Xenopus tropicalis: one gene and its partners. The protein of the gene in region 4 binds, or shares a complex with, the protein of the main gene of each other region. Links are inferred from orthologs where the notes say so. Each region holds a gene or a part of one and is shown on either strand. Other genes may lie near its edges.

Region 1 (3,500 bases), on a different chromosome or scaffold from region 4:
ATACATACCAGTAGTAGGGGAGACCCCAAGGAGCCATTTTTTTGTCATATATAATTCAGAAATATGTAAGGTGGACATAGGTATAAAAAAAACAATGTAGAAAAGTCAGTATTTAATTAAGTAAAATAAATTAGACCAGTGCTTCTCAAACTGTGGGGCCATATTTACTTACAGGGCTTACTTGCAATTTTGGTGAGACCCAAGTGGACCTCTGACATATAGGAATAATTACAGATTATAGTGAATTTCATCTTTTCAGCAGTGGCATATTCAGAACACAATATCTTTGGGAACTCAATTTCGCTACATTTTCAGGGCTAAAGGAGCCCCCAGAAAAACTCTAAAAGTAAATCACATAAACATATGTAAAACATTGTTTCTTAAAACTAAAACCTTTTCATAAAAAAATATACTTTTCTAATAGCATGTGCCATTGGATAATCCCAATTTTAAAAACTGCCATTTTAAGAACTAAGCTCCACCCTCTGGTTCATATGAGGCACTGTGCTGATACACAAACCAAGGGTATGCAGATGTTATATCAGCCACTGAATGAACAGAACTGTGTGTTTTACTCTGTGAGGAAGCAACAAAGACCATCACAAAATGGCGGCTCAGGGGGAAATATATAAAAAAAGCAGTATTTACTGTTGTACATGCAACCTTGGTAAGATTCGTTAAATACTTCATATGACTCTCCTTTCTGACAGCGCTGCGCAGGCAAGTAACACGGCGAACTCAGGAACACAAAGAGGAGCTGCATGCAAAACTGCAAGAGCTGCAGGGAGACCTGGAAGAGGAGAAAAGTGAAAAACAAGCTATATACAGTGGTAAGGAAAGGATCTTCCTTTTTGGTATCAAAGGATAGAATTTCAAATTGACAAGATATAGGCTCAAATTAAACAAGGCCATATGGTGACTAATCAGCTAACTAATAAATCGCTCACATTAGGACGTTTCATAAAACAGTATTAGTAGTTATTACCCACCCAGAAATGGCTGGGTTTCAGTGGATGTAAATTAAAATATTACAATGAAAATTGTAATTTTGGGTCAAGATTGTGCTCTACATAACAGGTTTAATTTTTCCTTTAGTACTGACTGGCTTCATTTTTCTCTGTCACCCTTAGAAATGACACGTCAGCAGCAGGCTTTGGAACAGCAGAGCTCAGCATCTATCCAGGCCCTGAAACAGGAGGTTGCGGAACTGAGGTTACAACTTGGTGAGAATGGAGCGTAGTACTAGACGGCATAAAATGTAGACACACTTATAGAGACATGAAATCTATCCAGAATGCATGGAATCTGGTGTTTTCCAGATCTTCTTTCATTTGGCTCACCGTAGTTAAGTTACATAGTAACAGTAGCATAGTAGTTGAGGTTGAAAAAGTCCATAAGGAAAAATCTGCATTCATTACTTTACGCAGTGTGCAAATGCAATTTCAGGGGCAATTACCATGTTTTTTTCCACAATGCATTTTTTTTCCAGAATTCTGGTGTCATTGTAATGCGGGTGATTTTGTTGGCGCAATTGCGCTCACCTACTGCAGTCGCATCCAATTTGCCAAAATGGATGAAACTGTGTCTTCAGCTTGTTGCAAATTGGGAGCAGTTGCACTGAATATTTTCAAAGTCTGTCTGGTGTAATTTCTAGCATTTGTTGGCATCGTTTTTGGTGTTCAGCGTGCGAATGTCGTGCAATAAGTGCAGCAGAGCCCGATTTGAAACGGAAAGCAGGAAGGACTGAGTGCAACTAGAGGGTAGTGTGAAGAGTGCATTATGACGCAGTTAAATTTAATGAAAGCGGTTCTAAGTCCAAGTAGTTTAAGTGCAAGTTGTCTATTGCGCTTGCAGCTGTAAATGAGCCCTCAGGTATCCCATTCATTACAATTTAATCTCATTTATATCTGCAAATTCCAAATAGGTGTTAAGGCACAAGAAAAGTCGCAACCACTTTGTGTATACAGTTGAACCTGCAATAGTAAATAGCTCTGTCCTCAATTTGCATACTTTACAATGCAAGCCCAATAATGTGTAATTGTGTATGCATCACACTTAGGTGAGTCTCAGCAAGAGCTAAAGGAAGTCCGTGAAGAATTGGAGCACACAAAATCCGAGAAAGAGGATCAAATTATACACCTGCGTAGAGAGGTGGAAAACATGGAGTCAGAATATGAGAATTTGTTGCATGTAAGTTAAATTTATTTGAGCTACGGCAGGAGCGTCACTGCATGTCATTTGGGTGTCAGTTTTTTTTTAATTTTTTTTAAAGCTTTTCTTTTTGCATAGTTTTCAATACAAGGAATACAATTAACAAAAGGGAAGAATGGAAAGGAAAGCAAAGTGAGGCAAAGGCCCCAAATCAAAAAGTGTGTAAATAGGTATATTATACATTCAGATATTTTGCTGTTCAAAGCAGGTTCCCCATATAGCATTGAATTTCTCTGGACGTCTTGCTAAATAATCAGTTTTTGGCTTGGAAGGGAATCATCTACCATCTTTTGACAAACTGAAGAGAAGGGGGATCTAAGAATTTCCAATGCATAAGAATGGCTTTTTTAGCATAGTAAAGCAGTTGTAAGTAGCATGCTCTGGAGTGGGACCAGATGTGTATATCACCTATTACTCCTAGTCAGCATAGGAGTGAATGGATGTTTGGAAAGCCAAGCTTCTCATTGAGAAATGTTAGCACCTCACCCCAGAATCTCTGGATAGCCTGACAAGACCAGAAGCCATGAAACATGGTGCCTATGCCATCGGTGCATTTGGGGCATTGATCAGACACATTATTATAAATTTTTGCCAGACGGTGGGTTGTTGAGTACACTCTGTTTAAAACTTAATCTGTATGTATCTATCCCTCTTTGAGATGGATAAATAAGGAACAAGCTTGAGGGCATCAGACCACATCTCATCCTCTAGCGTGGGTATGTCCCTTTGCCATTTAGTCTATTTTTTTGAAGGGGAGAGGGACCTATTAAAGAAGGTATAATGTAGAACCAGGAGAGGTCTTGTCTATGAAGGTAAGTCTCAAGGGTTTTTTCGGATAACCTTATGGGTCTGGATGGGAATTGTATATTAAAAGCATGCCTAAGTTGCAAGTACCTGAAAAGCATGTCTGGTGTGGATCTCATGCTTTAATAGGTCATAATTCTTGCAGTCGTCCTCTGTAACAATATCCCCTAGAACTCATCTAGCAATATCCTGAAGTGCGTGGAAGTGGGGCAGGTAAATGTTACCCTATATTGGGGTCCTGGGAGTTAGGTGTCAGTTTTAATAGGAAAACTATAAACAGTAATTCTTTTCAGAAAATTCCCTACTTCTCCCCTCTTGCATTTTCCAGTGGTGTAGCTACAAGTACTCTACTGCACCCAGACCCATTGGCTTATGGGAGCCACATTAGAAGAAACCAATAAAACTTCCACTACAGGAAAAAAAACATAGTAGTATGAAGAATCCTTCATGCAGGGGTCAAACAATATAGGTGGACATTGAGGGTG
Region 2 (3,500 bases), on a different chromosome or scaffold from region 4:
ATATAAGGTATTGTAACACTGAAGCCATTATTATGAGAACTCTATCCGGTGCTGTATTAGTGCTGTGTCAGGGTGCTGAAGCTGTCACATTGCCATGCAGGACCGATCCACTCTTGTGAGGGAATACTGGGAATGGGTAAATAAGAGCAGTTTAGAAAAGCCAGGTTTTTATGATTAAACAACTGATATTAAAGTGACATTCCAGTAGCTTTACTTTTAGGGTGAAGACACACTGGGCAATACTGAGAATTGCCTCTGCTAAAACACACGTAGTGACAATTATCAGTAAATGATCAGCATTGTCTATTTTAGTAGCCACAACAAGTAGCTGCTACTAGTAGCTCTGTGTGTCTTCACCCTTAGGGCTCTGGCACACAGGGAGATTAGTCGCCCGCGACAAATCTCCCTGTTCGCGGGCGACTAATCTCCCCGAGTTGCCATCAGCTGGCATCCCACCGGCGAAAATGTAAGTCGCCAGTGGGATGGCACACGCGGCGGCGCGATTTTGGCAAATCGCTGAAAATGCCTCGCGAGGCAACTTCGTCGATTTGCCGAAATCGCCTGCGCAGTGTGTGCCATCCCACCGGCGACTTACATTTTCACCGGTGGGATGGCAATCCGGGGAGATTAGTCGCCCGCGAACAGGGAGATTTGTCGCGGGCGACTAATCTCCCCGTGTGCCAGAGCCCTTAAAGGTGAAGACACACGGAGCTACTTAGTAGCAGCTACTTGTCACGGCTACTGAATGCCAGTAAATACCCTGCCATAGACAATGCTAAGAACTGCCTCTGCTCAAACACACGTAGAGACAATTATCAGTAAATGATCAGCATTGTCTATTTTAGTAGCCGTGATAAGTAGCTGCTACTAGTAGCTCTGTGTGTCTTCACCCTAAGAGTATTATTTGCTGTTGTAATTTAAAGTTCTCTTAATTTTACTTATATTTCCTTTTTTATAACCTTATATGATTACATCTCAGTGCTCTGTGTCTTATTGCAGAGCTCCTGGGAAATCCCCCAAAAGCCGTTAAAGAAGTATACTGTGAAGCCCCCTCGTCAGCTGATTAGTAAGTTTGCAGTACAGCAAGAAGCCAAGAAACAGGCTAAAATGGAGGAAGCTCTGCGCAATGAGCAGGAGGAGGAGACTAGGCTTAAGGAGGTAAGATGGACTGTAGTCAGTAAGTATAAGGACCTTTTCTGATGACTTTTCTTTGCAAAAGCAAGTTATTTTAAATGATTTTGATACCAAATAGCATTAATAATACCCCCTTTCCCCTAAATATTCTAAAAATCCATTTTTAGTATAAATGTATCTGGATGCAACATGTACTCAAAATTCTAACAGCAGCTGAAAAATATTTCATTTATCATTTGTGGTCAAAGGCACTTTTTAGAAAATGTGTGGCATTAATGTAGGAGGTGCAAACATGCTCTCTGCCTTTAAATTCCAGGCCGACCAGGTTGCCTAGGGCCCCTGGCCGGCTTGGCCCGGCACTGTGGTCTGAATTGGCCAAAATGACTGACTATCTCTTGTCGTGTATTGTCTCCTCAGTCACCTGAACTTTGAAGCAGCAAAGCAAAAATAATGCTGATTGTCTTAGACTTCATTCTAACATATCATTTTATGATCATCTTCCCCTGTAAACTCTTTGGAAAAGGGAGCCATATACATGAAACATGATGTGATCCAGTTTAATTGTATCCTTTAAGGCAGTGCTGTCCAACTTCTGTGGTACCAAGGGCCGGAATTTTTCCGACCTACGTGGTGGAGGGGCGATAATGGAAGCCAGTTTTGACCACTCCCCTTTTTGAAACTGCACCCACTTGAAACCACACCCGTGTTATCACATGACCATACCCATATTAATGGTTGTAGTACAGCACAAACCTGCCATACTCTGCCTTCCCTACCCTGCCTGTGTGTGCCATACTCTGCCTTTCCTACCCTGCCTGCGTGTGCCATACTTTGACTGTGTGTGCCATTCTTGGCTGGTTTGTGCCATACTTGGCCTGTGTGTGCCATACTCTGCCTGCCCTACCCTGCCTGTGTGTACCATACTCTGCCTGCCCTACCCTGCCTGTGTGTACCATACTCTGCCTACCCTACCCTGACTGTGTGTGCCATACTCTGCCTACCCTATGCTGCCTGTGTGTGCCATACTCTGCCTGCCCTATTCTGCCTGTGTGTGCCATACTCTGCTTGCCCTATGCTGCCTGTGTGTATGGAACACACAGGCAGCATACAGTGACACAATGCTGGCACTGCTCCTACAGTCTGCACAATAACTATATATTAAAAAACTTTTTAATTGCAGTACCACCTCAGTATATGTTCTTTTTGTAGTGTGCAGGGATTATTTGTGGGTTTTTACTGCTTCTACAGTCTGAGGTGTGAACAGGGAAACAATGTGGGTGATTACAGTTTGAGACTGAGGTGTGAACACTGCAGGGGGTGAACAATGCAGAGATTAAAAGGTGTGAACAACACAGGGGATTACATTTTTAAACAATACAGAGGGTTTACAGCCTGAATCTGAGGTGTGAACCATGCAGGGGGGGCAGTTAATCACAGTACTGATACCATTTAAAGCTTACACAAGAGTAAGCCATCAAAGCAGCCAGACAGGTGGGGGGCCACACAGAGGGTTTAAGGCATTGCTGTCCGATTGACAGCTTGCAGGCCCATGCTCTGCCTGCCCTATACTGCCTGTGTGTGCCATACTTTGCCTGACCTATGCTGCCTGTATGTGCCATACTCTGCCTGCTCTATACTACCTGTGTGTGCTATTCTCTGCCTGCTATATAGCCTGTGTGTGTCATACTATGCCTGGCCCTATATTGCCTATATGTGCCATACTCTGCCTGCCCTACCCTGCCTGTGTGTGCCATACTCTGTCTGCCCTATACTGCATGTGTGTGCCATACTCTGCCTAAGGGAGGTGAACCTGGCAGGGGTTTGTAAGCATTTGTAAATAGTCATTATATGGTTCCTAAGGGCAGTGGCACACAGGGAGATTAGGCACCCATGATAAATCTTCACTTGCTGATGACTAATCTCCCCAGCATGCCATCCCACTGGCAAGAATGTAAATCGCCGGTGAGATGGTATAGGCATCGCTTTCTTGCGATTTACATTCTTGCCGGTGGAATGGCATGTCGGGGAGATTAGTCGCCAGCAATTGGGAAAATTTATCGTGAGCGCTTAATCTCCCTGTGTAAGACTACCCTAAGGTGTGTAATTATATGCTGGGGGTTGCTGTGATATCCACAGGGGAAGTGGCATATGGATGTAAGGGTGTGCATAGGCGGAGGGTGACTTTTTTGTTTGGAGTGGCTAAAGATGGGCCATACATAGACTGACCTACAGCTAATGTGAGACTAAGTGGATTTGCTGCTGGTTTAAAAAGTGAACCTCCCAACTACCTCTTGCTGTTCCCAATGAATTCCAGGCATACTTTGCAATAGTGTAGATGGGAGTGCTTTTTTTACCCTAAAATGCTT
Region 3 (3,500 bases), on a different chromosome or scaffold from region 4:
AGGCAACTCAGGGAGATTAGTCGCCCGCGAACAGGGAGTTTTGTCGCGGGCGACTAATCTCCCCGTGTGCCAGAGCCCTTATGGGGCTTTGGCAGCAGTAAAACTTAATCCAAACAAGTAGCTGACTTGGATTTTTTACTTGTGCTCTGATAATCTTCTTTACTGCTGTGCTGCAAAATTGGAGTGATATTACACCCCCTATCTTCCCCCCAGCAGCTGATCAGCAGAACAATCGGTAGCTGCTATCTTGCTACCTTCTGATCATCACCTGCTGGGAAAAGGAAAGGGGGGGGAGTGATATCACTCCAACTTGCAGCACAGCAGTAAAGTGTGACTGAAAATTATCAGAACACATGTCACATGGCTGTGGCACCCTGGGAAATGAAAAACATGACTAGCCCCATGTGAAATTTAAAACTTAAATATAAAAAAAATCTGTTTGTGCTTTTAAAAACTGATTCAATGCAGGATTCTTCTGAAGAAGCTCTGTTAAAGGAGAAGGAAAAACAAAGTCACTTGGGGGTGCCAAAATGTTAGGCACCCCCAATTGACTTAAACCGCTTACCTTGTACCCTGGGCTGGTGCCCTTGTTCGGAGAGAACAGCACCAGCCCGGGGGTAGCTGCAGCGCTTCCTCCTTCCGTCTTCTAACGCACGCGCAATAGAGTGAAAAGCTGAACTTTAACAGAGAAGTCGGCTTTTCACTCTACTGCACATGCGCCTTTCCTTAGTCCTTCCAAAAGAGAAGGCGGAAGGAGGAAGAGCTGTGCTACAGGTACCCCAGGCTGGTGCTGTTTTCTCCTAACAGGGGCACCATCTCGGGGTACAAGGTAAGCGATTTAAGTCACTTGGGGGTGCCTAACATTTTGGCACCCCCAAGTGACTTAGCCATTCCTTGTCCTTTAACTGATGCGTTTTAAAAGAAAAATGTTTTCCCATGACAGTATTCCTTTAATGAAAAACTTGTATTTATACTGTGTCTAGAATATGCTGCAGTTTGAAGCACTAGCTCATACAGGTTTGCCTGCCATCTACTGATGTTTCATTTATAATTACGGCAAGAAAGCCTTGTTTGACCAGGAATTGTGTAGTTTTGTTCTTTCTGTTTAATGAGCTAAAACGTCTCATAAATTCAGCAATCTGCTTTTTAACTTGTTTATTAATGACCTATGGTGGGCATAGAGAGTACTGTTTCTATTTTTGCTGATGACACTAAATTGTGCAAAACTATAAGTTCCATGCAGGATACTGCCGCTTTGCAGAGCGATTTGACAAAATTAGATAACTGGGCAGCAAACTGGAAAATGAGGTTCAATGTTGATAAGTGCAAAGTTATGCACTTTGGTAGAAATAATATAAACGCAAACTATCTACTGAATGGTAGTGTGTTGGGGGTTTCCTTAATGGAGAAGGATCTAGGGGTTTTTGTTGATAACAAGTTGTCTAATGCCAGGCAGTGTCATTCTGTGGCTACTAAAGCAAATAAAGTGCTGTCTTGTATAAAAAAGGGCATTGACTCAAGGGATGAGAACATAATTTTGCCCCTTTATAGGTCCCTGGTAAGGCCTCACCTTGAGTATGCGGTGCAGTTTTGGGCTCCAGTCCTTAAGAAGGATATTAATGAGCTGGAGAGAGTGCAAAGACGTGCAACTAAACTGGTTAAGGGGATGGAAGATTTAAACTATGAGGTTAGACTGTCGAGGTTGGGGTTGTTTTCTCTGGAAAAGAGGCGCTTGCGAGGGGACATGATTACTCTGTACAAGTACATTAGAGGGGATTATAGGCAGTTGGGGGATGTTCTTTTTTCCCATAAAAACAATCAACGCACCAGAGGTCACCCCTTTAGATTAGAGGAAAGGAGCTTCCATTTGAAGCAGCGTAGGTGGTTTTTCACGGTGAGGGCAGTGAGGTTATGGAATGCCCTTCCTAGTGATGTGGTAATGGCAGATTCTGTTAATGCCTTTAAGAGGGGCCTGGATGAGTTCTTGATCAATCAGAATATCCAAGGCTATTGTGATACTAATATCTACAGTTAGTACTAGTGGTTGTATTTATAGTTTATGTATGTGAGTGTATAGATTGGTAGGTGTGGGTTGGGTGTGCTGGGTTTACTTGGATGGGTTGAACTTGATGGACACTGGTCTTTTTTCAACCCTATGTAACTATGTAACTATGTAACTATGTAATCTGCTGCCTCCTTATCAGGAGTGGAAGGCAGCATAAGAGGATTTGGCTTTTTTTGCCATCAGAAATAAGCAACTGATATGCTATTAGCATTAGAGATAACATTTATCAACTTGTAATCTAAACTAAACCTGAAGGTAAAATGCATACCAAAGGGTTTATGTAAGAAAAGGCACAAAGTTTGTCAGGGAGCAATAACCCATAGCAACCAATCAGCAGGAAGCATTTACTGGTCATCTGTTGTTTGTTAAAGCAAACATCTTATTGGTTGCTATGAGTTACTGCACCTGGGCAAACTTATTGCCTTTTATTACATAAGGGGGTATAAGAATAATAAAAAGGTGTTTTAGGAGTAGTTACATAGTAACATAGTAAGTTGGGTTGAAAAAAGACATACGTCCATCACGTTCACCTTGTATTCATAATATGTATGTTCATTATCATGTTAAGCAGTAGGTTCTGCTGTACCAACATTTTCCATATATCTTGGGATATTAATGGAAAAATAAGGAAAGAAAATATTTGTGCTAACATACCTGGTCTGTAATATTTGTCCCAGACAGATCTATGGAAATAAGTGAGGCCATGTTTCCTAGTAGCTCAAAGCCAGAATCTGTCAAATTTTCACAGTAGCGAAGACTTAGGTAGGTTAAATTATGACACCTAAAATAAAAATAGGAATACAGAAAACATTTAAAATCTGAATCCAGTAAAAAATATAATCAATAAAGGAACTCTATAAATACGACTGCAGTATAGTAACTGACAACATAGTAACTTTCACAACAACAGCCAGAATGTAAGCTGATGTAAACAAGATTCACTGTTATATGTACACTCTGGGTGCTTAAGCTATAAAAACGTAAAATACCCCTGTATATATTAATCATTATTCATGTAGCTAAGGTTTAGCATAAGGAATACTGATTGATGATTTATGATACATATATAAATCTCAGATCAGTTTAGATACCTTGAATATAATTATGGGTCTTTAGGAAACGTTTGGAAGGAAGGGGAGAGTCTGATGGGACAAGGCATAGAGACAGGCAGAAGCCCGGAAGAAGTCTTGCAGTTGGGAATGGGATGAGAGGAGAAGAGAGGCGAAGGTCAGAGGCAGAAAGTTGCGTGAAGGAGTGTATTGTGGTATTAGAGCTAAGATATAGGGAGGAGCATCAATAGTAAGGGCCTTATATGTAAGTGTTAGTAATTTGTATTCGATTCTAGAGGAGATTGGGAGGCAGCAAAAAGATATGCATCAGTGAGTGACAGATGTGGAACAGTGAGATAGATGAAGTCTGGCAGCAGCATTTAGAG
Region 4 (4,016 bases):
TACACAGTTATGCATACACAGTTATGCAGACAGTTTCATTTGCAATCACATGTAACACTATGTCATTAAGAGTATTAATGATTCACTCCAAGTATTGGAGACCTTATTCTGGGTTAACATTTAAAGAGAAAGAGGTGGATCTTTTTCTCCAAGAGGCACGCCACAATCTTACCTGCATTTCCCAGGAGCCCTTATACCTATAGTCTTACCTGTGCACAATGCAGTAAAAAGTACCTATACTGTGCCTGTGCAAGGGATCCAGGTAAATACAGATAGATGGTGGTGTGACAGTTAGAAAGATGCCCACGGCCAACATATTGCTTCCCCTAGTAAATAAGACTACTTGTCCTTTTAAAGAAAATCTAGGACAAGATCAATATTATCTTTATGACACCTCTCTTAAATGAACAATAAAAACATCTTTCCAAATATGTCATATGAAACAAACATTTTCCCTTAACATGTGTGACTTTGCAATAGCAAAAAGCATGATCAGGAAGCACATCTCCAGCAGGCACACACCCGAGTGACCCCACAATTACCCGCTTACAAAGGCAGGACTTACGATCCTAAATTGGCTTTCCAGCAGCAGCTGACTTCTATAATAGAACTATACGAATAGGTGGCGGCAGAAAACCTATAGACAAGTACAAGCCAAGCTGCCCAGCACTTCAATTAGCCAAGCTTATTCCCCGTTTGTATTAAGGGACAACTACTACACAAAACTCGGCCTCTCAGCGAAGGGAAACTTCCTTAGGTGTCTGGCACAACTGTCGCCAAAAGAACAACTCGAAAACAAGTTTGCTGCAGTTGTACAGCTGCGAAAATAAGCCGGCAATGGGAAAATCCTATCAGCCTAGCTCCAATGCAATCCTCTCCGTATCCCAAACATCCCGTCTCCCACAGGCTCAAAGCCAGGCCCGGCAAATAACGCTCAAGTAGACGTCCCCGTTCATGTCGGTATTTCTCTCATACGACCCATTTAACTGTCCATTTTTCAGTATTAATATTTGACTATACACTAAGCTCACCCGCACTGGTAACCAAGATGGAGGAAAAGGAAGGGGGAGCGCTTTGCATGACGGGAAATTATGAACGTAGCATGCGTGAGGTGTCCATGTGACTGCCTAATGTAAAAGGGTAAAAAAAAAAAATAAATTAAACCCAATTTCAGGGCAATGAACTATGATCTCTAAGAGAATTGATTTTAAATCTAAAATCGTGAGATAAATGCAATAAATGTTAAAAATGATATATAACCGGCGGTACGAAGACGAATAGGACGCAAGGACTCTCGGGCAGGGTACGATCCCCATGGCAACTGTATGTAAACATTGGGTGTTCTGACGCACAGGTAACTTGCAAATCAGTTTTCGCAAAATCTGTATTGGCATTATATATTTTACATTGTACGTGAATGTGCATATAGCTACATAGTTGGGGTAAAAAGGGATGCAGTGTGTGTTTGGTAGACGTTACCATACCTGAGTAGTAGTAATACAGGGACTTAAGAAACATACACTGGCTAAGATACAGGCTCCCTGTTCTATAGTAAATGCTTTTTATTTGGCTGGATATAATACTTTAATGGATAAAACATAAAATTCTAATTGCATTATCCTTTAGTTGTATTACAAGAAAAGTAAGCAGTTTGTTATGTAGGGATGCCCCTCTTCCAATACTACCAGTGTCCACTCTCAGCTGCCCTTCCAATCCATACACCAACCCATTTGCATTCACATTTGGGCAAGAAAAAGTCACCCAGTTGTCCGTTATAAACACATTTGTGTCTTTGAAAACATCTGAATTGATCCATCTTATATACTTCCTTATGAAATTGCATTCAGTAGGATGGTGCAATGGAATGTTCTAGGTTTCCCTGGTCAGTTCTTAATCTGGAAATGCTATTGTTAGTACTGTGTTTGGAGTTTCCTTATTGGCTCAAAGGGGACCTGCCACCCAGACATAAAGTCAAAGTAATTTTTAAATTTAACATGAAACCCAAATTTTTTTAATGAAAACATCCATACCTGTTATAATGGTATTTCAAATCTTCAAATTTGTCTCTGTGCATATGAGTTGTTAGCAGTGGTTTGGGCAGCACACTAGTCATTAAATGCATAGTTTGCGAAGAACATAGACACACATATAATCAGGGCACATGCTCTTCGCGAACTATACTAATTGTATACATACAAGTGCACCCAGGTGTTAAACTATAGTGCGAGGTTAACTTTATCAATAGTCATTAAATGCAAGCATGAGCACCTAAAACAAATTTGGGCTCATGGAGACTTCTGGGAAATGTAGTATGGGCTCTGCACATACAGGTTGCTATGGCAACAGAGCGCTATTAAAGAGGAATTGCCTCTTTGTCAATCTCCTTTGTGCTTTTGCTGTTTACTATGCCCCATGGTTGATAATAGCATTATAATTTTTTTTACCTTAGCACATTCTAATTATTACAAGCTTTTTGGTGCCTTTTTGGGCTTATTAGGGTGGGGAAGGTAGATTTTCACTGTTTGTGTGTGGATACAGAAATCCTTAAGAAAGGTTACACTGTAGTGACCAAAACACTGAACTTTGCACATGATTTTGTAAATATATTTGATTTATTTGCTAAAGATCCATGCTTGCAGAACTTTTTGGGGCTTAGTGTTTGCTTATCTTGCATTGTTTGGTAGGCACCTTTTAAAAAGTGTTTTATCCAATTTGCAGCAAACTAAAGGCTTTGCATTCTGACACATTCATACCTTGCAGGTCAAGTAAAACTCCTTGAAAGATGACATTGTCTATGCTGGATGCACTTCGGGCGTGCACTGTACTGGAGGACAGCCTAGATCAACTCTCCGTTCTGGGAAACATCATGCCTGTATCTTACCATGGCCGCAGTGATGTTAGTGACCATAAACATTTGGCTGTGATTGGGTATTTTGTGGAATCTAACTTTTGATGTTGAATATCCTAAAAAGTCCTGCAAATGTAACCTGGTTATAAAGTTAGCATATATTATCTAGTGCAGGGATCCCCAACCAGTGGCTCGTAAGCCACATGTTTTTCACCAACCTGTTGGATGTTGCTCCCAGTGGCATCAAAGCAGGTGCTTATTTTTAAATTCTTGGCTTGGAGGAAAGTTTTGGAAGCATTGTAGGCTGCCAGACCACATAGGAGCTACCAGTAGCCAATGACAGCCCAAAATAGACACCCCCTGGACCTTTTTGCGTGCTTGTGTTGCTCTCCAACTTTTGATTTTTGCATGTGGCTCATGGGTGGAAAAAGGTTGGGGATCCCTGATCTAGTGCAATACAAGATGCTCTGGGAACAAATATTTTCTGAGCAAACATTTATATTAAAGCAGCGTCGTTCGGTCTGGAATATTTGTAGTGACTGTTTTTGCCTTTCTTTATAATTAGTCGGCTTTCTAATGTCTTGTGTGTAATTTTAGATAGTTGGAAATGAAATTGGAAAGATTCTAAAAACACAGAGGCAGCTGGAAGGAAAATTTGAAGACCTCATGGGGAAACGAGCAGAAGTTCGAACAACCTCTTTCCCTCTGTCCAGTAAGATGCTGGATCTGACAAAGCAGGTGGAAGAAACTAGCGGAAATCTAAAATTGACCAATGAGCAGTTTATTCGAGTAGTGAAACAGAGTCCTCTAACTGCAGATAACCTCAGGAAGGTCCAAGCCGACAGGTGAGACAGATGCTTCTTTTTGTTTGTAAGCGTCATGGCAGACGGGGAGATTAGTCACTGCGCGACAAATCTCCCTTGTCGCGGGCAGCTAATCTCCCCGAAATGCCATCCCATTGGCTAGATTGTAAATCGCCGGTGGGATGGCATACACAATTGTATTAAAGGGGAAGGTCGATACATTGATAATCTAAGCTGTAGTTTAATAAAGTCTGAGGCTGATGCCACACGTGGTGTAGGGCTGATTTTTTCAGCCCTACGCCTGCTACTTGTGCCTGCACCCGAATGAATGGAATACGCTCAGGGGCAGGCACATGTAGCCGATA
Region 5 (4,063 bases), about 98 Mb from region 4:
AGGCTGCACTATTTCATTTTCTCTGTCTGACCTATGGCATTGGCTTCTTCTAGGAAACTACCTCCTCTGCACCCCCATACTTTGGGACCCACCCTCAAATAAAGGTTTTTATCCAAATCCTCCTGTTTTATGGTATCTCTCTGTACAGGCTATGAGCAAACTTAGGGGGCTGTTCCTGCTGAATTGTGCTTAGTACAGGGGAATCCCTATGTGCCATAGTTTTAGGGTATCTCTCTGTACAGGCTATGAGCAAACTTAGGGGGCTGTTCCTGCTGAATTGTGCTTAGTACAGGGGAATCCCTATGTGCCATAGTTTTATGGTATCTCTCTGTACAGGCTATGAGCAAACTTAGGGGGCTGTTCCTGCTGAATTGTGCTTAGTACAGGGGAATCCCTATGTGCCATAGTTTTATGGTATCTCTCTGTACAGGCTATGAGCAAACTTAGGGGGCTGTTCCTGCTGAATTGTGCTTAGTACAGGGGAATCCCTATGTGCCATAGTTTTATGGTATCTCTCTGTACAGGCTATGAGCAAACTTAGGGGGCTGTTCCTGCTGAATTGTGCTTAGTACAGGGGAATCCCTATGTGCCATAGTTTTATGGTATCTCTCTGTACAGGCTATGAGCAAACTTAGGGGGCTGTTCCTGCTGAATTGTGCTTAGTACAGGGGAATCCCTATGTGCCATAGTTTTATGGTATCTCTCTGTACAGGCTATGGGCAAACTTAGGGGGCTGTTCCTGCTGAATTGTGCTTAGTACAGGGGAATCCCTATGTGCCATAGTTTTATGGTATCTCTCTGTACAGGCTATGGGCAAACTTAGGGGGCTGTTCCTGCTGAATTGTGCTTAGTACAGGGGAATCCCTATGTGCCATAGTTTTACGGTATCTCTCTGTACAGGCTATGGGCAAACTTAGGGGTAACAATATGGCAGATTTTTTACAGATCTCTGCTGGGGGGGGGGGGGGGGGGGGGGGCGTTGCAGTTGGGGGTCAGTGTTAGGGAAGGGAGGGCAGAGAAGGCTCCGTATGGGAGAGGGGGCAGTTAAGAGGTTAAGGGAGGGGTGGGAAGAGATGGGTCAGTATTAGGGGGGCTAAAGTACCCGGACCTGCCAGACCTGGGGGGCCAGACAATAGCAACTTGCCCCAACCCCCGGTCCGACCCTTTTCAGCCCTCGGTGCCGGAACAGAGAGCGGCGAATGGGTTAAAGTGCGGATCATGTTACGCGGTACCCGCCAGGGGGCGCTCCGGGGCAGAATCCGTGCGGGGAAATAGCGCTGCCTGTGTTGCCATGGGAACGGTAAACTCCGGCCGGTAGCAGCCAGGGGAGAGCCGGTACCGCGGTGCTACAGTAAGTCTGTGCCTGGGGATTGGCTGTAGGTAGGTAGGTAGGGGTATGGGGGGCAGGGTAATACGGGAGCCCCCAGCCAAGCTCCCTTACCTCTCACATTGTATTATATGTTCAGCCCTAATGCCCTGTGTCTCACCCTCAGTGTGGGGCCCCTGCCGTAAAGCGAGTTGTTACCTACAAGGCATTCAGTGCAAAGAAATATTTATATGTGTATATGTTCTACTCACCCCAAATAAACACAAAGGCCCTTATAGTCTAACCCTTATAATAATAATAATAATAATAACCCTGTGGGTTCCGGGTATGTGGGCCCTAAGCGCCGGCCCTTACAGTCTAACCCTGTGGGTTCTGGGTATGTGGGCCCTAAGCACCGGCCCTTACAGTCTAACCTTGTGGGTTCTGGGTATGTGGGCCCTAAGCGCCGGCCCTTACAGTCTAACCCTGTGGGTTCCGGGTATGTGGGCCCTAAGCACCGGCCCTTACAGTCTAACCTTGTGGGTTCCCAGTGTGTGGGCCCTAAGCACCGGCCCTTACAGTCTAACCCTGTGGGTTCCGGGTATGTGGGCCCTAAGCACCGGCCCTTACAGTCTAACCCCGTGGGTTCCCAGTGTGTGGGCCCTAAGCACCGGCCCTTACAGTCTAACCCTGTGGGTTCCGGGTATGCGGGCCCTAAGCACCGGCCCTTACAGTCTAACCCTGTGGGTTCTGGGTGTGTGGGCCCTAAGCACCGGCCCTTACAGTCTAACCCTGTGGGTTCTGGGTGTGTGGGCCCTAAGCACCGGCCCTTACAGTCTAACCCTGTGGGTTCTGGGTTCTGGGTATGTGGGCCCTAAGCGCCGGCCCTTACAGTCTAACCCTGTGGGTTCCCAGTGTGTGGGCCCTAAGCACCGGCCCTTACAGTCTAACCCTGTGGGTTCCGGGTATGCGGGCCCTAAGCACCGGCCCTTACAGTCTAACCCTGTGGGTTCCGGGTATGTGGGCCCTAAGCACCGGCCCTTACAGTCTAACCCTGTGGGTTCCGGGTATGTGGGCCCTAAGCGCTGGCCCTTACAGTCTAACCCTGTGGGTTCCGGGTATGTGGGCCCTAAGCGCCGGCCCTTACAGTCTAACCCTGTGGGTTCCGGGTATGCGGGCCCTAAGCACCGGCCCTTACAGTCTAACCCTGTGGGTTCCCAGTGTGTGGGCCCTAAGCACCGGCCCTTACAGTCTAACCCTGTGGGTTCTGGGTGTGTGGGCCCTAAGCATCGGCCCTTACAGTCTAACCCTGTGGGTTCCGGGTATGCGGGCCCTAAGCGCCGGCCCTTACAGTCTAACCCTGTGGGTTCCGGGTATGTGGGCCCTAAGCGCCGGCCCTAACAGTCTAACCCTGTGGGTTCCGGGTATGCGGGCCCTAAGCGCCGGCCCTTACAGTCTAACCCTGTGGGTTCCGGGTATGTGGGCCCTAAGCGCCGGCCCTAACAGTCTAACCCTGTGGGTTCCGGGTATGCGGGCCCTAAGCGCCGGCCCTTACAGTCTAACCCTGTGGGTTCCGGGTGTGTGGGCCCTAAGCACCGGCCCTTACAGTCTAACCCTGTGGGTTCCGGGTATGCGGGCCCTAAGCGCCGGCCCTTACAGTCTAACCCTGTGGGTTCCCAGTGTGTGGGCCGTAAGCACTGGCCCTTACAGTCTAACCCTGTGGGTTCCGGGTATGTGGGCCCTAAGCACCGGCCCTTACAGTCTAACCCTGTGGGTTCCGGGTGTGTGGGCCCTAAGCGCCGGCCCTTACAGTCTAACCTTATGGGTTCCCAGTGTGTGGGCCCTAAGCACCGGCCCTTACAGTCTAACCCTGTGGGTTCCGGGTATGCGGGCCCTAAGCACCCTCTTATCTCTCTGTCCTAACTCACAGGGGTAAAAGCATATACAGTTCCACAACTCACTGCCCATTGGCTCAGCAAGATGATTGAGGCCCCTCCCAGTGTAAGAGGTTTGGTGCCGGCGCCGTTACCAGTGGGGCAAAGAAACCCGGCCGCCGACCCCAGAAGGATGCGCAGAATTATTGCAGAAGATCCAACATGGTCGTTGGCCATTGTCCCCCTGCTCAGCGACCTCTGCCTGCAGCACATCGTCACGAACTTTGCACGTAAGTGGCTCTAGGGCCCCGGGCAGATATGTGTGGGCAATGGGTGGGCAATGTGTAGACAATGGGTGGCCAATGTGTGGGCAATGGGTGGCCAATGTGTAGGCAATGGGTGGCCAATGGGTGGGCAAAGGGTGGGCGATGGGTTCCCAATGGGTGGGCTATGGGTGGGCAAAGGGTGGGCGATGGGTTCCCAATGGGTGGGCGATGGGTGGGCAAAGGGTGGGCGATGGGTTCACAATGGGTGGGCTATGGGTGGGCAATGGGTGGCCAAAGGGTTCCCAATGTGTAGGCAATGGGTGGGCAAAGGGTGGGCAATGGGTTCCCAATGTGTAGGCAATGGGTGGGCAAAGGGTGGGCAATGGGTGGCCAATGGGTGGGCAATGGGTGGCCAATGGGTGGGCAATGGGTTCCCAATGTGTAGGCAATGGGTGGGCAATGGGTTCCCAATGTGTAGGCAATGGGTGGGCAATGGGTGGGCACGGGCCCCTATTCCATTGGTACTTGGTGAATTTGCTTTTCCTCCCCCATCTTATACCAGGGACAGTCACTATTTATTGGGCTGGGGGGGCTGTTTGGGTACTGGAAATATTGGG
Region 6 (4,201 bases), about 49 Mb from region 4:
TAGTACAAGTTGATCCAGGGACTGGTCCGATTGCCATCTTGGAGTCAGGAAAGAATTTTTCCCCCTCTGCAGCAAATTAGAGAGGCTTCAGATGGGGTTTTGTGCCTTCCACTGGATCAACTAGCAGTTATGCAAGTTATATATAAGCATTACGTTTAACTTGGTGGCCATATGTCCTTTTTCAACCTAACTTACTATGTTATTATGTGTCATCTATATCAGTGGTACCTAAACTGACCAAGTGGCTAGGGGGACCAAGTCTGCAAGCCAGTTAGTGTAAGACCTAAGATCTAAGGGTAAGGCCTAGATCTTCCTCAGTTAAGTGACAATTTATTTCCTGGATACTCATGGCTGATACAGCAGTGTCTTCATATATCTGTACATATATAGGTGTCATTACATATAGCAAGAAATGTAAGAATTCATAAGCTGGGCTTTTAATTACAGTTTACATCTTCATAACATAGACATCAAAGTACCTTCAGCATGTTTTTTAACGTGACCCTGACAACTGATATTAGTAGTACGCACTATAAACTGACTATATTCTGTGTTAACCAGTTTCCAGTGCCATCGCTGTTAGCTCTAGGCCCATATCATACAAACCATTTTGCTACACAGGGGACATGCTGATTTAGCTGCCCCATGTGTAATCCGCCTGTTACTGCACACTAGCCAGATTTTGCCAGAGAACGTTTATTATGATTATAATAGTTATGCATTTTAGCTGAACTCTGCACGTATGTGGAATGACCAAGCTTTTTAAACAAGATGCTTCTGGCATAGGAAGCAAGATTTGTCTTGCTTTAAATGTACAATATAATAATTGAATTTCATACTGGTGACCTTGCAGCCTACCCCTGAAGCTGACAGAGTGGAATGCTGGAACTACTGACCCAGCAGAGTTGTCTTCACTTCAGCCTTTACTACTTTGATAACTTCTCTTAGTATTAATTATATAACATGTAACATATGTAATATCCCTCATACGTAATAAAAGTTACAAGTATGCCAGGGTGAAGAAAGCCATATTTTGCGTTAAAAAAAAGTGACCAGCAAATGCTACTTGCTGATTGGTTGCATTAGGTAACAAGTCATGTACAGAATTTTGCACCTTTTATAACACAATCCTCAGAGTTTTTACTGACGCACCACGTCTTTATTAGTGAGTGCTGTTTACATATCTTCAACCGGTCTATCCCTTAACCAAGCGCCTCCTGTCCCTTTCCCCAAGTCCCTTCTTACTATTACGTACATTTAAGACTTTCCGCTCAGACATTGTTACTCTTCACTCCTCTGTAGCTGTATTTTCCAAATGGCGCAGATCAATGACGTCACGCTCCAGCCGCTCGCAGGAACAAGCAGCTAGGAAGTGTTTTATATTCACGCACGTCATCTCAGCGCCACCAGGTGGTCAAATGACTTGGGTTGTGCAGTCACCTAGCAACCAGATACAAAAATGACTGATGAGAAGGAGGCCGCTGGTAAGTTAATGCTCCATAACAAAATGTAAAAAACAGATAAAAATAGCGAGACGAGGAGAGGGAAGGAGAAGGGGAAATTAACAGAGACTTGGTCTGAACCCTGTTAGAAAATCAATAGAAACGAGTAAAGTACATTCTACAAATAATCGCCTGTTCATCTTTATGGGTGACTAAAATACTGGGTGCATTTTAGATAGAGTATCAATTAACCTATTGGTACAATTTGGAATAGAATTTTAGTATTGATATACTGCAGGCAGCAGAATGTGCTATAATCCTAGGCAGGGCTGCCATCAGAACTCACAGGCCCCATACAACACAATTAGCAGGATCTGTTGTCCAGCCAGTGGGCATCTAAGCTTTTGTTCGATCAGTACATCAGACCTAGTGAAGTGAAGGGGGGGAATCAAAGGCAAGGGATTATATTTATGTTAAACAAAAAAAAAACCTGTATGGATTTTTTTAATAAATTTATATTAAAAAATATTGTCTTTTTCATAAAGAACCTGGCACCATAAGGGCTCTTAGATTTTTCACTTTACTTCCCCTTAAAAAATGTACTGCAATTCCCATTCTCTGATAACGTAAGGGGGCCGTGCAGGTGTAGGTATGTAGGTGTGTACCTAAGGATATCCTAAAATTGTACTGATCACACCAGTCACATCCCTGTTACTAGGATTGGCTTCTGTGCAAGATAGTTATAATCAAAACTTTGGAATTTAGCACCCATTACTATTATACCTCATCTCAATACTGTTGGCTAAAAACAAACCCTGAAATGTAAGCAAGAGACAATGAGCTACTATAAGTTGCTGTAATGAAGTAAGTTATTCTGATCAGTGCAAGATATAGGAAAACTGTAAAAGTAATAAATGCAAAAAAAAGCACCAAATTACATTTTTAATGTGTGTTAAAAAAGCTAGTAGCTTATGTTCTGTTTTCTATCCATTATAGTCAGTGCCAAAGCCAATTAATCCATTTCCTTAATTCAAGCGTTTAGGTTATGGTGTGAACAGACATACTGTATATGAGCAACAGAGAATACCACCGTACAGGGCAGCCTTGAGGGCAAATAGTTGTCCTGGTGTTTTTTATGGTCATAGGAGCGCAGGCCACGCTGCACTTGGATTACCAGGGCCCCCTGCAGTCAGTGACCAGCAGCCTTCAGAACACAGGACTAGCGCTCCAGTGCCAGCTTCTTATTATCTCATACAGCTTTCTGTAAGCTCATTTGCCAATAAAGTTTAAGTCCCGGAAAAGGTGCATGGTGATTGAATGGGCTGGAAGGGACCCATCCAATCCCCATGCAGAATTACCAGGATTTAGAGTTCTGTGGTAAATGAGCAGTAAAGGAGATACAGGCACCCAGGTTCCTGTCCTTTGCTACCCGATTCTGCAGCTCTCACAGCAGCACGGCCGGGCCCCCCTTAAACCTCAAAACCCACCGGGCCCAGGACTGTCCTCCCTGGCGGCGGCCCTGGTTCTAAGGCTGTTTCAGCGCAATCTGAGAATAGGCAATGCACCACCATTCTCTTTCTGAACCTGTGTGTGCACTGACAGGCATGTGACATATAAATATATGTATTTTCATGCCAAAATCTTTGTGTGTGCTAAAGAGGTGATCCGTTGCACTTGAAGTGGTGACAGATGGTTCTCCACACAGATGGAGCTCAAATAGTCATATTAGTAATGGAAACAGTGTATAACTGTAAAGCATGTCACTATGCCTGCTAATCCATTAATGCATCTAATTATTTTCTTACACATATTTTTTCAGAATCTCTAGTGACAGATTTACAGAAAAAAATTACAGAAGCCTTTGAGGTTTTTGACCATGAATGTAACAAAACTGTTGATGTCAGGTAAACATAACATTTTCCCTGTAGTTTTTTTTTGTAGAATGCTGGGTAAACAGGAGAAAGACAGCTGTACAAGCTTTCAGTTCCTAAAGCTGCCATTTTTATTATTTAATGCAATCTCAAAAGTGTGTGTGCTTTGGTAATCATTTTCTTTGTATTGTGTAAAAAAAAACAACACACTAAACAAGCAAAACCTTACTTTGTCAAGAGTTCTCATTAAAAAAAGTATACAATATGCACATTATTTATTTTATTTATTATTTTTTAAAGCTATTAGACTAATTAAGATTTTTTTTACATTAACAGGATATAAAAGCTAACCCTAACCCTGTTTTATTTTAAAGTTTCATGCATTAACTGTGCTACTTTTGTAACAGAGAGATTGGAACAATCATAAGGTCTTTAGAATGTTGCCCAACAGAAGGCGAACTCCATGATATGATTGCAGAGGTAAGGTTTTAAAAACAAGTTAAAGAGTACAGAACTATATGCACTTATTGTGCCCATATCAATAAAAACTGAAAAATTGCAGCTGTAAAAGTAAAAATATTTTTATATTTATTCTGACCTATTATTGCCTAAGAAGAGATAAAACCTTTGTATGTCTTATCTTGCTGTGTAAAATAACTCCCACGTTTAAGATGTAGCTGAGAAAGTTTTTGCCTGTTAAAGGCAACAAGAATTCTGCGAGTCTTTGTTAGCATGTTCAGCCAATAGAGGGCACTGTTTTATTAAAGTCTGTTTCTAAAATGTTACATTTTCTAAACAAAAAATAGTATGGCAACTCTGAGCAACTATAAATGAACATCAATATATAGACACATTAGGCATCCTATACAAAATATACCAGTTTTCATT

Evidence for each region.
Region 1: iqcg (region 4) and ccdc153 share a complex: the UniProt entries of both Homo sapiens proteins name them as parts of the nexin-dynein regulatory complex. The link is inferred for Xenopus tropicalis from reciprocal best matches to the Homo sapiens genes DRC9 and DRC12.
Region 2: iqcg (region 4) and drc7 share a complex: the UniProt entries of both Homo sapiens proteins name them as parts of the nexin-dynein regulatory complex. The link is inferred for Xenopus tropicalis from reciprocal best matches to the Homo sapiens genes DRC9 and DRC7.
Region 3: iqcg (region 4) and fbxl13 share a complex: the UniProt entries of both Homo sapiens proteins name them as parts of the nexin-dynein regulatory complex. The link is inferred for Xenopus tropicalis from reciprocal best matches to the Homo sapiens genes DRC9 and FBXL13.
Region 5: iqcg (region 4) and tcte1 share a complex: the UniProt entries of both Homo sapiens proteins name them as parts of the nexin-dynein regulatory complex. The link is inferred for Xenopus tropicalis from reciprocal best matches to the Homo sapiens genes DRC9 and DRC5.
Region 6: iqcg (region 4) and efcab2 share a complex: the UniProt entries of both Homo sapiens proteins name them as parts of the nexin-dynein regulatory complex. The link is inferred for Xenopus tropicalis from reciprocal best matches to the Homo sapiens genes DRC9 and DRC8.

Annotation. Positions count from the first base shown.
Region 1 is NC_030683.2:80,334,194-80,337,693, forward strand, and holds part of ccdc153 (coiled-coil domain-containing protein 153), read left to right. Parts: intron 1-710; coding exon 711-830; intron 831-1,130; coding exon 1,131-1,223; intron 1,224-2,059; coding exon 2,060-2,190; intron 2,191-3,500. UniProt on the Homo sapiens protein: Component of the nexin-dynein regulatory complex (N-DRC), a key regulator of ciliary/flagellar motility which maintains the alignment and integrity of the distal axoneme and regulates microtubule sliding in motile axonemes.
Region 2 is NC_030680.2:76,097,276-76,100,775, reverse strand, and holds part of drc7 (dynein regulatory complex subunit 7), read left to right. Parts: intron 1-999; coding exon 1,000-1,158; intron 1,159-3,500. UniProt on the Homo sapiens protein: Component of the nexin-dynein regulatory complex (N-DRC) a key regulator of ciliary/flagellar motility which maintains the alignment and integrity of the distal axoneme and regulates microtubule sliding in motile axonemes.
Region 3 is NC_030679.2:78,014,446-78,017,945, reverse strand, and holds part of fbxl13 (dynein regulatory complex subunit 6), read right to left. Parts: intron 2,847-3,500; coding exon 2,720-2,846; intron 1-2,719. UniProt on the Homo sapiens protein: Substrate-recognition component of the SCF (SKP1-CUL1-F-box protein)-type E3 ubiquitin ligase complex.
Region 4 is NC_030681.2:100,505,729-100,509,744, reverse strand, and holds the start of iqcg (dynein regulatory complex protein 9), read left to right. Parts: upstream 1-1,216; 5' UTR 1,217-1,354; intron 1,355-2,760; 5' UTR 2,761-2,782; coding exon 2,783-2,896; intron 2,897-3,445; coding exon 3,446-3,693; intron 3,694-4,016. UniProt on the Homo sapiens protein: Component of the nexin-dynein regulatory complex (N-DRC), a key regulator of ciliary/flagellar motility which maintains the alignment and integrity of the distal axoneme and regulates microtubule sliding in motile axonemes.
Region 5 is NC_030681.2:2,404,420-2,408,482, reverse strand, and holds the start of tcte1 (dynein regulatory complex subunit 5), read left to right. Parts: upstream 1-1,263; 5' UTR 1,264-1,351; exon of another isoform or gene 1,352-1,380; intron 1,381-3,236; 5' UTR 3,237-3,286; coding exon 3,287-3,470; intron 3,471-4,063. UniProt on the Homo sapiens protein: Component of the nexin-dynein regulatory complex (N-DRC) a key regulator of ciliary/flagellar motility which maintains the alignment and integrity of the distal axoneme and regulates microtubule sliding in motile axonemes.
Region 6 is NC_030681.2:51,986,723-51,990,923, reverse strand, and holds the start of efcab2 (dynein regulatory complex protein 8), read left to right. Parts: upstream 1-1,401; 5' UTR 1,402-1,459; coding exon 1,460-1,484; intron 1,485-3,261; coding exon 3,262-3,346; intron 3,347-3,720; coding exon 3,721-3,793; intron 3,794-4,201. Other genes in the region: splicing factor YJU2, read right to left, coding at 1,256-1,279. UniProt on the Homo sapiens protein: Component of the nexin-dynein regulatory complex (N-DRC), a key regulator of ciliary/flagellar motility which maintains the alignment and integrity of the distal axoneme and regulates microtubule sliding in motile axonemes.